3 linked regions of the Oryza sativa Japonica Group genome follow. The protein of the gene in region 1 interacts with the protein of each later gene in a pairwise test. Links are inferred from orthologs where the notes say so. Each region holds a gene or a part of one and is shown in the gene's direction. Other genes may lie near its edges. The genes, in order: protein indeterminate-domain 16, protein DROOPING LEAF and ARM REPEAT PROTEIN INTERACTING WITH ABF2.

Evidence for each region.
Region 2: the proteins of protein indeterminate-domain 16 (region 1) and protein DROOPING LEAF interact in binary tests that used the Arabidopsis thaliana proteins (3 or more experiments, as listed by UniProt). The link is inferred for Oryza sativa Japonica Group from reciprocal best matches to the Arabidopsis thaliana genes SGR5 and CRC.
Region 3: the proteins of protein indeterminate-domain 16 (region 1) and ARM REPEAT PROTEIN INTERACTING WITH ABF2 interact in binary tests that used the Arabidopsis thaliana proteins (3 or more experiments, as listed by UniProt). The link is inferred for Oryza sativa Japonica Group from reciprocal best matches to the Arabidopsis thaliana genes SGR5 and ARIA.

Annotation. Positions count from the first base shown.
Region 1 is NC_089042.1:23,109,675-23,114,075, forward strand, and holds the start of protein indeterminate-domain 16, read left to right. Parts: upstream 1-1,453; 5' UTR 1,454-1,922; coding exon 1,923-2,058; intron 2,059-2,196; coding exon 2,197-2,599; intron 2,600-3,456; coding exon 3,457-4,401. UniProt on the Arabidopsis thaliana protein: Transcription factor involved in inflorescence stems gravitropism, probably by regulating starch accumulation in amyloplasts of graviperceptive cells. Required for stem circumnutation movements. Regulates lateral organ morphogenesis and gravitropic responses.
Region 2 is NC_089037.1:6,087,461-6,091,573, forward strand, and holds the start of protein DROOPING LEAF, read left to right. Parts: upstream 1-1,268; 5' UTR 1,269-1,369; coding exon 1,370-1,438; intron 1,439-2,318; coding exon 2,319-2,462; intron 2,463-3,450; coding exon 3,451-3,544; intron 3,545-3,842; coding exon 3,843-3,891; intron 3,892-4,113. UniProt on the Arabidopsis thaliana protein: Transcription factor required for the initiation of nectary development. Also involved in suppressing early radial growth of the gynoecium, in promoting its later elongation and in fusion of its carpels by regulating both cell division and expansion.
Region 3 is NC_089039.1:19,470,145-19,473,469, reverse strand, and holds the end of ARM REPEAT PROTEIN INTERACTING WITH ABF2, read left to right. Parts: intron 1-1,279; coding exon 1,280-1,343; intron 1,344-1,445; coding exon 1,446-1,525; intron 1,526-1,666; coding exon 1,667-1,731; intron 1,732-1,874; coding exon 1,875-1,992; intron 1,993-2,065; coding exon 2,066-2,190; intron 2,191-2,293; coding exon 2,294-2,384; 3' UTR 2,385-2,803; downstream 2,804-3,325. UniProt on the Arabidopsis thaliana protein: May act as a substrate-specific adapter of an E3 ubiquitin-protein ligase complex (CUL3-RBX1-BTB) which mediates the ubiquitination and subsequent proteasomal degradation of target proteins.

The DNA of each region.
Region 1 (4,401 bases):
GGTCAGACGGGATAACGTCACCGGTGAGCCATCCGGCCGCGGACCGTCACAGGTATCCCCTCACCTGTGACGGGCCGAAAGGAAAACCCGTCAGAGGTATACCAGTGACGAGTTTTGCTTCCAACCCGTCACTGGTATCCCCTCACCTGTGACGGGCCGATACATTAGAAGCCGTCAGAGGTGATGGGCCGCCACCTGTCATCAGTGACGGGTCGTAAGTTACAACCCGTCAGAGATGAGTCATCAGTGACGGTCAGGTAGTTACGACACGTCACTGATGACTCATCTGTGACGGGTGACAAGTTTTAACCCGTCAGAGATGACTTATATACCGGTCAGAGATGGGTTATCTGTGACGGGTGTTTCATCCGTCACAGGTGATTTTGTCATCAGTGACCACTAATCACTGACCAAGACCAAACCCGTCAAAGGTGAGGGTTTGGGCCCGTCAGAGATGACCTGGTCCGGCGTAGTGCGTATTCATTGATAGTGAGACATGTGGTAACGCTATCAATCTCAAGATATACATGACTAGTCTTCAATGGTAAGGTGTGTGCGCCGCTCATGCCTATACTATGTTTTGAAAGAAAAAAAAAAGCAAGCCACACCCACATTTTTTCTTAAAAAAAAAGGGAAATGAGCTCAAACGCCGTTTCACGATAGAGCACCTCCCATCATTAATAGGTTCGTATTTGAATGAAATTAATGGTTAAAGTTATACATTGCAGACCGTGCAAAAAAAATTATATACTTTATATTTTAGGTATTGATGTCGTATTTGCATCGAATATTTTGATTTGATAATTCCAATAACACAGAAATAAGAATAAATAAATGGAAAATATTTTTTTTTTGCACAGCATATGTGGCATGCCCTCCAAGCAAATGTACCCCTTTTCTATTTTAAAAAATAAACTATGGTCTTTAGCACGCACATATATATTTATATTGCACATAAATATATTCCTTTATATATAAAAAGGTTATTTATATTGCATGTTGTATTTTAGTTAGTGCACTCTCATATATATACACACTACCTCCATTTCATATTATTTCATATTATAAATTATTTTGAAGTTTAACCAAATTTATAAAAAATCTAAGAAACATAATTAATTTCATTAAAACTAACATTTTATATAATTTAATAAAATGATTGTTCTATGTTAAAAATGTTTTTATTTTTTTAGAAACTTTATCAAACTTAAAAATGTTATGACTTAAAAATAAGTCAAAACGACTTATAATATAAAACAGAGGAAGTATCTAATATATGTACTCTCTTCCAAAAACCTCTTTTATTTGGAACCCAGCCGTAGCCGGACCCAGAGTATATCCATGCTGCAATTGCAACGTTTTTGCAAAGCCACCGGTTTTAGGACAGGGAAGAAGACCCAATAAAACACCTACCAACTCCGGCCATCCCCCCTCCCTCCCCCACACACCCCCTACATGATACAATCCTAAAAGAAAGCTGCTAAAACCTAAAGCTGGTAGAAAGCTGCCTCCCCTCTCCTCTCCTCTCCTCTCTCATCTCCCCCCTTTGGTGTTGTCTGTGTAGCAGCAAAGCCAAAAAAAACAACACTGCTCCAAACACCTTTGCTCCTCATCCTCCTCCTCCTCCCTCTCGATTCCTAGCTGTACTCACTCACTGCATCTCCTCCTCCCCTTTTCGTTTGTTTATTCTCTTCTCCGGCTTCCTCGAGCTCGCCTTAGCTAGAAGCCTGTGGCCCCGTGATCTCTCACTGTTGTGGCTTATATAGAGATAGATATCCGGCTCGGTTCCATTGATCCGTTCTTGTGGAGTTGTGTGATCAGAGCTGGAGAGATTGGCTAGGTTGGAGGAGGAAGGGGAATTCTTGGTTGTAAGGGAAGAGGTGGGAGTGGTCACCGGCGGTGCGCGCGCGGAGGCGGACATCATGCTGAGTTCTTGCGCGCCGACGGCCGTGCCGCCGCAGGATGCGTCCGGTGCGGCGACGGAGCCGTTCCGGTCTCTGCAGATCGCCACCGCCGGTGCCGCCGCGAAGAAGAAGCGGCGGCCAGCCGGGACACCTGGTAAGTGGAGCTCTATACACACATCCAATTACACCGGCTACGTACGCGCGTTCTTGCGCCGGTCGGTGTTTGTCTTGAGGAGGTAGCTAACGAGCACATCTGTGGGCAATGGCGCGCGTCGCCGGCCGGCGGGAGCAGACCCGGACGCGGAGGTGGTGTCGCTGTCGCCGAGGACGCTGCTGGAGTCTGACCGGTACGTGTGCGAGATCTGCAACCAGGGGTTCCAGCGCGACCAGAACCTGCAGATGCACCGGCGGCGGCACAAGGTGCCGTGGAAGCTGCTGAAGCGGGAGGCCGGCGAGGCGGCGCGGAAGCGGGTGTTCGTGTGCCCGGAGCCGACGTGCCTCCACCACGACCCCTCCCACGCGCTCGGCGACCTCGTCGGCATCAAGAAGCACTTCCGCCGCAAGCACAGCGGCCACCGCCAGTGGGCGTGCTCCCGCTGCTCCAAGGCCTACGCCGTCCACTCCGACTACAAGGCTCACCTCAAGACCTGCGGCACCCGCGGCCACACCTGCGACTGCGGCCGCGTCTTCTCCAGGTACGGCCACCGCCACCGCCACCGCCGCCGCCGCATCTCCATGCATCCATTAATCTCATATTCTCACATTTAACATGCCAATTACATATCGCTCCAAATCTTTTACACACCTAGATAGTACTATACAATCTTCTCCTTTGCAATAATCTTTGTCAAATGCGGGCGAGAAAGGCGTGATGATTTTTTTCTGGAGAATTTTTGCGGGGTCGCTTTGCCATTGTAGGCCTCATCAGCAACACCCTTTATGAGCAGTAGCATATCTATATTCATTCATGCCATCCTCTGGTACGAGTATTTACTCCCAGGAGGGGAGTAGTATTGTGGCATCAACAGGAAAGAGAGAGAGAGAGGTAGCTAGCCTAGCTGAGAGATGTGGCAATGTAGCGCGAGCTCTGCAGGCACAATTCCCGATGACGCCCTGGCTATCAATCGATGTGTGTGGCTGTGGCCTGGCCGTCCGTGTGGGCGTAGCGTATGCATCATACATATACTACGGCACTGGCCATTGCTTTGATGTTAGCTTGGCTTGTGTTTTGCCTTTGCAGGGGCTCCATTTAATGCAATGCCACGGCCACGAAACCCAGGCTATGCTATTGCTAGCAGCTGGTTGCAGGGCCCAAAATTTCACGCCTGACAAAACCCCCCTGATCGCCTCCTTGGCTTCTTCTCCGTCCGCCTCAGTATCTCACCCATGCGCATAGAATACTAGTGTAATCCAAAGCTAAGCTATAGCTAGAGACTTTTCTTTCTGGCTGTTTATGTTGCCGGTTATTAGTACCACCTCGCTTGTTTGGTGCCGCGTGGGGGTTGTTTTTAGTGGCGCTAACGAGATGCGGCGTGTGGATGTTGATGCGCAGGGTGGAGAGCTTCATCGAGCACCAGGACGCGTGCAACGCCGGCAGGCCACGCGCCGCCGAGGCGTCATCGTCCCCGGGACGCGGCGGTGGCGTCGTGGTTGGTGCGCCGGCGGCAGCATCGTCGTCTCAGCAGCAGCAGCTTTTTGCGGTGCCGGCTTCGTTGTCGCGGACGGCGTCCAGCGCCAGCCCGTCGAGCGACCTGGTGGTGAGCCCGGTGGCCTGGCCTGCTACTGGTGGTGGTGGTCCGGCAATGGTGAGTCCCCGTGCTGCGGCGCCGGCTCCTGCTGGCGGTAGCATCGCGGCGTTCCACCACCGGTTCACTGACCCGGCGCTGTCGCCACCGACGCCGTGTGGTGGCCGGCGAGGAGGATGCCACACTACCCACAGCCTGGAGCTGCAGCTCATGCCACCGCGCACCACCACCACCTGCGCAGGCGGCAGCCTCGGTGGTACTCCAGTTGCCACCGCCGTTGGGTACTACGCTTCCTCTTCGCCGCATTCGCCTGCTGCTGCTCTTCCGTCGCGGCAGCCGGTCGCCGACGCAATGCGGCTGCAGCTCTCGATCGGGTTCGGCGGCGCACGCGATGATGGCAACAACAACAGCAGCAGCAGCAGCGGCGAGGTGTCGGCCTCGGCGACGAGGCTGAAGGAGGCCGCCCACGAGCAGCTGCGTCTGGCGATGGCCGAGAAGGCGGCCGCGGACGAGGCGCGCGCGCAGGCGAAGCGGCAGGCGGAGCTCGCCGACCAGGAGCTGGCGACCGCGCGGCGGATGCGGTACCAGGCGCAGGTGGAGCTCAGCCGCGCGCACGTGCTCCGCGACCACGCCATACGCCAGGTCGACGCCACGCAGCTGCAGATCACCTGCTACAGCTGCAGCCACAAGTTCCGGGCGAGAGCGGCCGCCATGATCAGCTCCGACGTCGCCAGCTACGTCTCGTCCGTCGT
Region 2 (4,113 bases), on another chromosome or scaffold:
CATTAAATCGAACATTAAATATATTTTAATAATATGTTTGTTTTATGTTGAAAATACTACTATATTTTTCTATAAATTTAATCAAACTTGAAAAATTTTGACTAAGAAAAAAGTCAAACGACTTATAATATGAAATGGAGGGAGTAATTACAAAATAAAACTGAGAAACCTACTACATTCCTCAACAACTCAAATGCCAGTTAAGGAAGATATTCTCTAAAGATTTCACACCACACAAGCTCCAAAGTTTCATTTCCGATCCTCCATAGAAAAAAGAAACTCCTAGATATTTCAATTTTCAAAAAACATTTCAAAAATCTATAAACTGCAGAGATTATTTTAGGTGCTCTGAGAACTAACACCTAGATATTTAATTAGGAACCTGGCTAGCTAGGGGTATATGTCAAGCAGTACCGGTACTATCTTCCGAGTCAGAGAGAGAGGGAGCAATTGGACCATTCACAATTTGAGGGCACAGTACAAGGCACAACTGGATGGGATGTAGTACTACTGTGGCTTCGCCACCGGATCGGATGGACACCACTCTAGCTAGTTACTGTAAGCATATGCTATAGCTAGCTATAGGAGCAAACATATACTGTTCCCATAGCCTCGAGATGCATATGATATTACGATGTGTAGTGTACATGTACACATATGGAGAGAGAGAGAGAGAGATAGAAGAGACCTGTCAGATCACTATGCTGAGTTACACATATATACGTACATGAAAAAGTCTTTCTACACGTTATAAGAGAATATCCCGTGCTTCTTACACACCATCTCTATATTTTTTCAAAAAGAGAAATTTTACCGTTCTTGAGAAAATATCGAGATACTAAACGTTAGTAAATATGGTTCTCTAGGTATCTTTTTAATGATGGTAAAATTACCATTTTAAAAAAGATGTTTCTCTTTTTCGTTTCGACAAGATAGAGCGGTGTATGTTGATATATCCATCCATCCAACCATGGATCTCATCTCGCTATCTATCTTAGCTTTGCTTGCAACATTTGCCTCGAAAGAAAGAAAGAAAGAAAAGGAAAAATAAAAACTTTTCTGGTGCTCGCTCTCCCGATCACTGTGGTTGGTCTCGTGCGTACGGGGTCCATGTGTGCGTGGGACCCCCTCGCCATTATTGCAACAATAGAAACCCTACCCCATCCTTCCTCCCGCTGTGCCCAACTCTCCCCCCCCCCCCCCCTCTCTCTCTCTCCTCCTTCCCGTCTTCTTCCTCCGGCCTCTTCTCCTCTTATTGCCCTTGATTCCCCCGCACCACCGCTCACACTTGCTCCTCCTCCTCCTCCTCCTCCGCCTCAGTGCTAGGGCTAGCTTGCTTGTCGCCGTCGCCGCCGTCGTCGCCGCCGCAATGGATCTCGTGTCGCCGTCCGAGCACCTGTGCTACGTGCGCTGCACCTACTGCAACACCGTGCTCGCGGTAAACTCCTCGAGAAACCGGAGCAGCGGCTTAGCTTCGCATGCAGAGAACGATCGATATATGCTGCTGCTAGCTGCAGCTGCACCATGGCCTTCGTTCTTTGGTTATCTTTTGAATTGGACAAGAGAGCAAAGAACAAAGTGTTGGTTCTGTCTCGTGATCTCCTGCTGCTGCAGATTGCAGAGAGGGCTCTCACTTTGGTTTGGTCCAATCCTTTGGCTTGCTTAATGTGCATCATGGCATATGCTTACTCTCACACAGGACACAGTGAGAGAGAGCTAGCTAGATAGCTGGGACCAAATCCAGCTTCTTGCTTGCTCTCTCTGTGTCCTGAGGAGCTAGCTGCTAAGCTAGTGGAAACTTCCACTGGGGATTGTTCATGACACGTGATTGATGTGCCCTTGCTGTCTTCCTGCATGGTGTTTTATTGGCTAGCTCTCTTTTTCTTTCTTAGATAAAATTCATTGGCCATAGCTCTTGATATGATGCTTTGTGGTAGAATGTTCTACTCAGCTGGTTCTCTCGCAGTGTCATGTTCCATCTTTCGCTTCCATTATATCCCCTTCTTTCATTGTTACCAGCTGCAGGCTGCATTTTTAAACTGGACAAGAATCCAATTTAGTAGTACCTGCATCTTCTGTTCTTCCATTAAAAAACAAGTACTACTGAATCTTCTCTTCTTCCTTTTCTTTTTCCCTCTCTGTTTTGCATATCCCACTTTATTTGCTTGCTCCATCTAGATTCCTTCCACACAGATATGCTGTTCTCCTCTACTTTTTCTCCTTAAGGACAGTGCCATGCAACAAAGAGATGAAATTAACGAAGAAAGTATTGGCTTAATTGCATGATGTGATTAATTAATTTTTCGTCTTTTGGGTAGCTGCAGGTTGGAGTCCCATGCAAGAGGCTGATGGACACCGTGACCGTGAAATGTGGCCACTGCAACAACCTCTCCTTCCTCAGCCCGCGGCCGCCGATGGTGCAGCCGCTCTCCCCAACTGATCACCCCTTGGGCCCGTTTCAGGTCAGTCCTCTCCTCTAGCTAATTAAGCTAGCGTTTCATTCTTTTCTCTCTCTCTTTCTCTGAATCTCCTTGCAGTTCTTGATATTTTTCCTCCTCTTTCTTCTTCTTCTTCTTCGTCGTCTTGATCTTCTTCAGTTCTCGTGTTGCTGTTTCTAGCTACTTTCTCTTTTCTGCATATGGGTAGCTTCTTGCGAGGAGAAAGGCTGGCGATAAATCTTTCTCCTTATACAAGAAAGGGAAGACATATAATTAAAGAAATTATTAATTGCACATGGAGAGTGGGACTTTTTTTTCTCATGAAATATGGTTTAGCAGAGCTTTGGGGTGTTCTTTTGTTCGGTTTCTCTCTCCTCTTTTCCCTTCTCTCTCTAGCTCTCTGTGTCCTGTCTCGGCTTTATGGAGCCACTCAGAATACTGTTTGCAAGGCAAGATTAAACAAAGCTGGATTGCAAAAGATTTCTCTCTTGCCCATCTGTGGCCTGGGAAAGCCTCATGCTGCAAAAGCGGCCGGCCAGTTCATCTTTTTTTTTTCTCAGGCAGCATATGCTGCTAGCAGCTGCTCTACTGTGGCATTCATGCCTCTCCAAATTAAACCTGCATTTTTATTTATTTACTTCTTTTTTTTTATTTTGGTGTGGAAAGATGCATTCATTGCCTGTTTTCCGAGTTGACTAGTATAGCTACTTCTACCCAAGCAGGGAGAGAGAGAGAGAGAGAGGGAGAGAGAGAGAGAGAGAGAGAGAGAGAGGGAGAGAGAGAGAGAGAGAGAGAGAGAGAGAGAGAGAGAGAGAGAGAGAGATCTGAGAAAATAGTTAGGAAATGATGATTTTATCATCATCCAACTACTACTACTACTACTACTACTACTACTACTACTACTACACTGATCCATGCATGGCAAGCGTTTGAGAGATCTTGAAATGTGCTAGAGCTGGAAGCTAGTAATTAACCTTGGTTGCTTCTTGTGTTGGATATTTCTTGGTGTTAGGGACCTTGCACTGACTGCAGGAGGAACCAGCCGCTGCCGCTGGTCTCGCCGACATCAAATGAGGGTAGCCCAAGAGCACCCTTCGTTGTGAAGCGTAAGTAGCAAAGCAACTATATGCACACTTCACTTGCTATATCATACACGTGCATATATACCAGCTAGAGTAGATATCAATATCTTTCTAATTAAATTTCTTGCTTGCTTACTGCTCATTTATATCAGTCATTCAGTCTCTCCTTAGTTTCTTGCTAATTGTTAACTGTCTTCTTCTGACGAGTCCTTCACTAGCTCTCTGTGTCTTGTGTTCACATGGAATATATAAATATGAACAAACAGCTAGCTAGCATATCTTGTGTTTCCTCTGACAAATGTTTTTATGTCTTCCATTGTAGCCCCAGAGAAGAAACACCGCCTCCCATCTGCTTACAACCGCTTCATGAGGTGAGAAACTATTTACCTATTTGTCCATGCATTTATCTTATATATATGCTTGTGATCCCTAATATGGTTTGCACTCATGTGATCTTATATATATTTTTTCTATTTGTTCTGAGTTTTTTTTTGAGGGAGCTAGTAGTGGTTCAATATTTTTTTTATTTGTCCTGTACTATAAACTCTATGAGATCTGCACCTGTTTTGGGAGAAAGTTTCGATTTTATTGAA
Region 3 (3,325 bases), on another chromosome or scaffold:
ATGAGTTGATTGTGGTGTGCTATGTAAAAGGTTTTCAATGTGATATGGACTGAACTACGATGTGGTAATGCCCATGCATTGATTTTATTTTGTATAATCAATGCATTAAAAGGGTTTTTTTGTTAGAAATAAACAAAACAGTACATGTTTAGGGGAAATTTGTGTAATGCAACAAAACTAGCTAATTGTTGGCTGACAATCTTGTTTGATTAGTATTTTGACAGGAAATTGGAGGTGGATGTATAATAGCTGTAAATAAATATGCAACACAGATTCTTGGCTTCTTGGTTGTGCGAATTATGTGATAGCTGCGGAAAATTGTTGCAAAATATTAACTAAAGGAACAATCCTGTACATTCATCGCCAATATTTCATTAAGAAGCTTAGGGTTACTAGGATGTGAATATTAATAGCTAAGTTTAATGCTAGTTTTAAGTTGAAAAAAGAAACATTAGTTTACATAACTTATAACATACTGTAACATTTCAGTTGAACCACCCAACAGTTTTTCAAACTTGTACTATCTTAAGTTAATTTTGGAGCAGTCTATGATAATAGTTTTTTAAGACCTATGTGTTATTTGACTCGTCAGTAGCGGTAACATTGCCTTTAATCATGTTCTTGTTGCCTTACCTCGAAATTTCAAAGTTTTTATCATGATATTGGTGGTACAACTGTTGCCATGAAATTCTAGAAGTATGATTGACTGATATTCCCCATGGCTCATGTAAACTAAATAATAGAAACATCTGTCATAAATACTGATATAAATGGTGCTTCATCTCGCAAATTGCACAACAGCCTCGTCACACTTTCACACTTATTTATATACGTTTCATCCTAGTCAACACTATGCATGATTTCCCATTCATGTCTTTTAAGATGTGTGACCTTCAGGCCATCTGCTTTCTGAGCAAACCAAGCATTTATTTCCTTTGTTAGGCTTTTGTAGGACAAAACTTTTAGGAACTTTGTCAGACATGACCAAGTTGTTGCAAGATTTGAATTCACTCAGGCAGTATGTATGCATCTGTGCATTTCTATGGATTATTTTTATCCTCAGCCTTCAGAGCATAGCGCACATAGAATTCAGATATACTGCCATCTGAATTTATATGCCGGATAGTCTGTTCCTAATTAGCAGTCAGTCCTATTAATAAGGTGTTATCTCAGTAAAACCTAGTTTGTGCAATGCTGGATTCGAATATATCATTTGGAGCAATTGGTCCATCAACAGTGCTGGCAATCCCTGATACTTAATGTATTTTCTTCATTGTAGGTTTATCTTGGTGAGCAATATGTGAACAGTTCGACACTTTCAGATGTTACCTTCTTGGTGGAAGGTTGGTATTTTATCTGTGGACCCAGTTGTCACCAGAAAGTCACTTTAGATACTTCGATCTTTTCCATAGAATCCATGTAAATCATATTCCTGTTGTCTCCAGGAAAGCGCTTTTATGCACATAGAATTGCATTACTTGCTTCTTCGGATGCATTTCGTGCAATGTTTGATGGCGGATATAGGGTGAGTCTTGTGTAGCATTTCTTTTTTCGTTTGGTACATGTGGATTTGTTTCTTAGTGGAACAATTCTTGTTGAGGTATATTTTTTCATTTTTTAAAGAACCTCAATGTGTCTTGACTCGAATACTATTTTTCTTAACCAGGAAAAGGACGCGAGAGACATAGAAATTCCAAATATCAGATGGAATGTGTTTGAACTCATGATGAGGTAAGTCAGCTTTGAGTTCTCTTCCTCCTTGGCCATGGACGCTTTGCTTCTGTGCACATATCTGTAATTGTTATTATTCTTTTCTGGTTTGTGGGCAAATGCCTGCTAAACTAGAGTCTGAATATCCTATTTGGTATATGCAGATTTATCTATACAGGTTCAGTGGAAGTAACTAGCGATATCTCTCAGGATCTTCTTAGAGCTGCTGATCAGTATCTATTAGAAGGCCTCAAACGTCTGTGTGAATATACAATTGCGCAGGTAATTAGGATTGTTACCTGTATGCTATGCTCAAAATGCTGGCTTGGTCTTATTTAATATATCTGCCTTGCAGGATGTGAATGTAGACAACGTTTCTGACATGTATGACCTATCTGAAGCTTTTCATGCAATGTCACTCAGACATACATGTGTCCTATTTATCTTGGAGCAGTTTGAAAAGATTTGCGTCAAATCTGGGTACACTTCCTCACCTAGTGTCCTGTTCCTAGGTCCAAATGTTTGTGTTATGTAACTCATTTTAGGTAACAGAAATCATTTGCCATGCCATTTTGCAATGCAGGTCAAGCCAGCTGATCCAGCGTGTCATCCCAGAGCTCCGCAACTTCTTCGCTAAGGCGCTAAGGCCAAGCCACAGGAATGCGCAGCCATGAGTCCGTGCCCCTTCCACAATCCTTGACACCACCCACACATCTGACAGTCGCTTCGGGAGATCTTGTACAGCTAAAAGTTTCTTTTTCTGGCGTTGGACATTGGCATTCGATGGCACCAACAACATTGTAACATCCTTTTATTCGACTAAAACAGAGCCCAAATCATGGTAAGAGCATATGGCTTAGCCAGCCATGTCTCGGACCAGCCTAGGCTGGGATAGGTTTACTTCGTTTCGCCTTGGCATAGTCACCGAGTTTAGGGCCACTTTCCCAGTCCAGAGCTCCGTGTATGTCCGTCTCTTTGATGATGCAGAGGATAAGATCGATCTGTGTATTAGTGCTGTAGTTGCAATCAGTTTCGTCTCCTTCGTGTTGTTTAACAATGCAGAAATGCTAATCAGATTGGCGTTTTCTCCCAACTTGTCCCTCGTCATGGTCCATGTATATACTGATATGCAGTAGATGCATATGGATTGTATTGCGGTCCAGCCTGACGTCGGTAGACGGGGACAAATACGGTGGCAGGCGCCGCCATCTCGTCAGCGGCTTAATCGGTTGTCTTTGTCCCACTGGATATTCGGCGGAAGAATAGCCGGATTTATTTTTCTGCCCTGCTCTAATAATTTCTGTATCTCTATTTAAATTTGTTTGCTTCTGTGATCTTCTTGGAAATATTCTGACATAGAAACAATAATATCAGCCGATTGATATTTAGAACAATACTACTACTAGTATAGTAGTATCAACCAACTGACCAAGCCCCATAAGCAATGCGCAAATGGTGTCGTGTTGTCCACTAATGTTCCGTTAAGTAACTAACCTCTTCGCATGTCTGAATTCTGAGAACACTAAAATTTCGATGAACCAACCACCCAAGTTTTCTAGGTAAGCTACCACTTGAAATGCTCAAGTAGAAAAAATGCATGGGCATTGACTTCCAA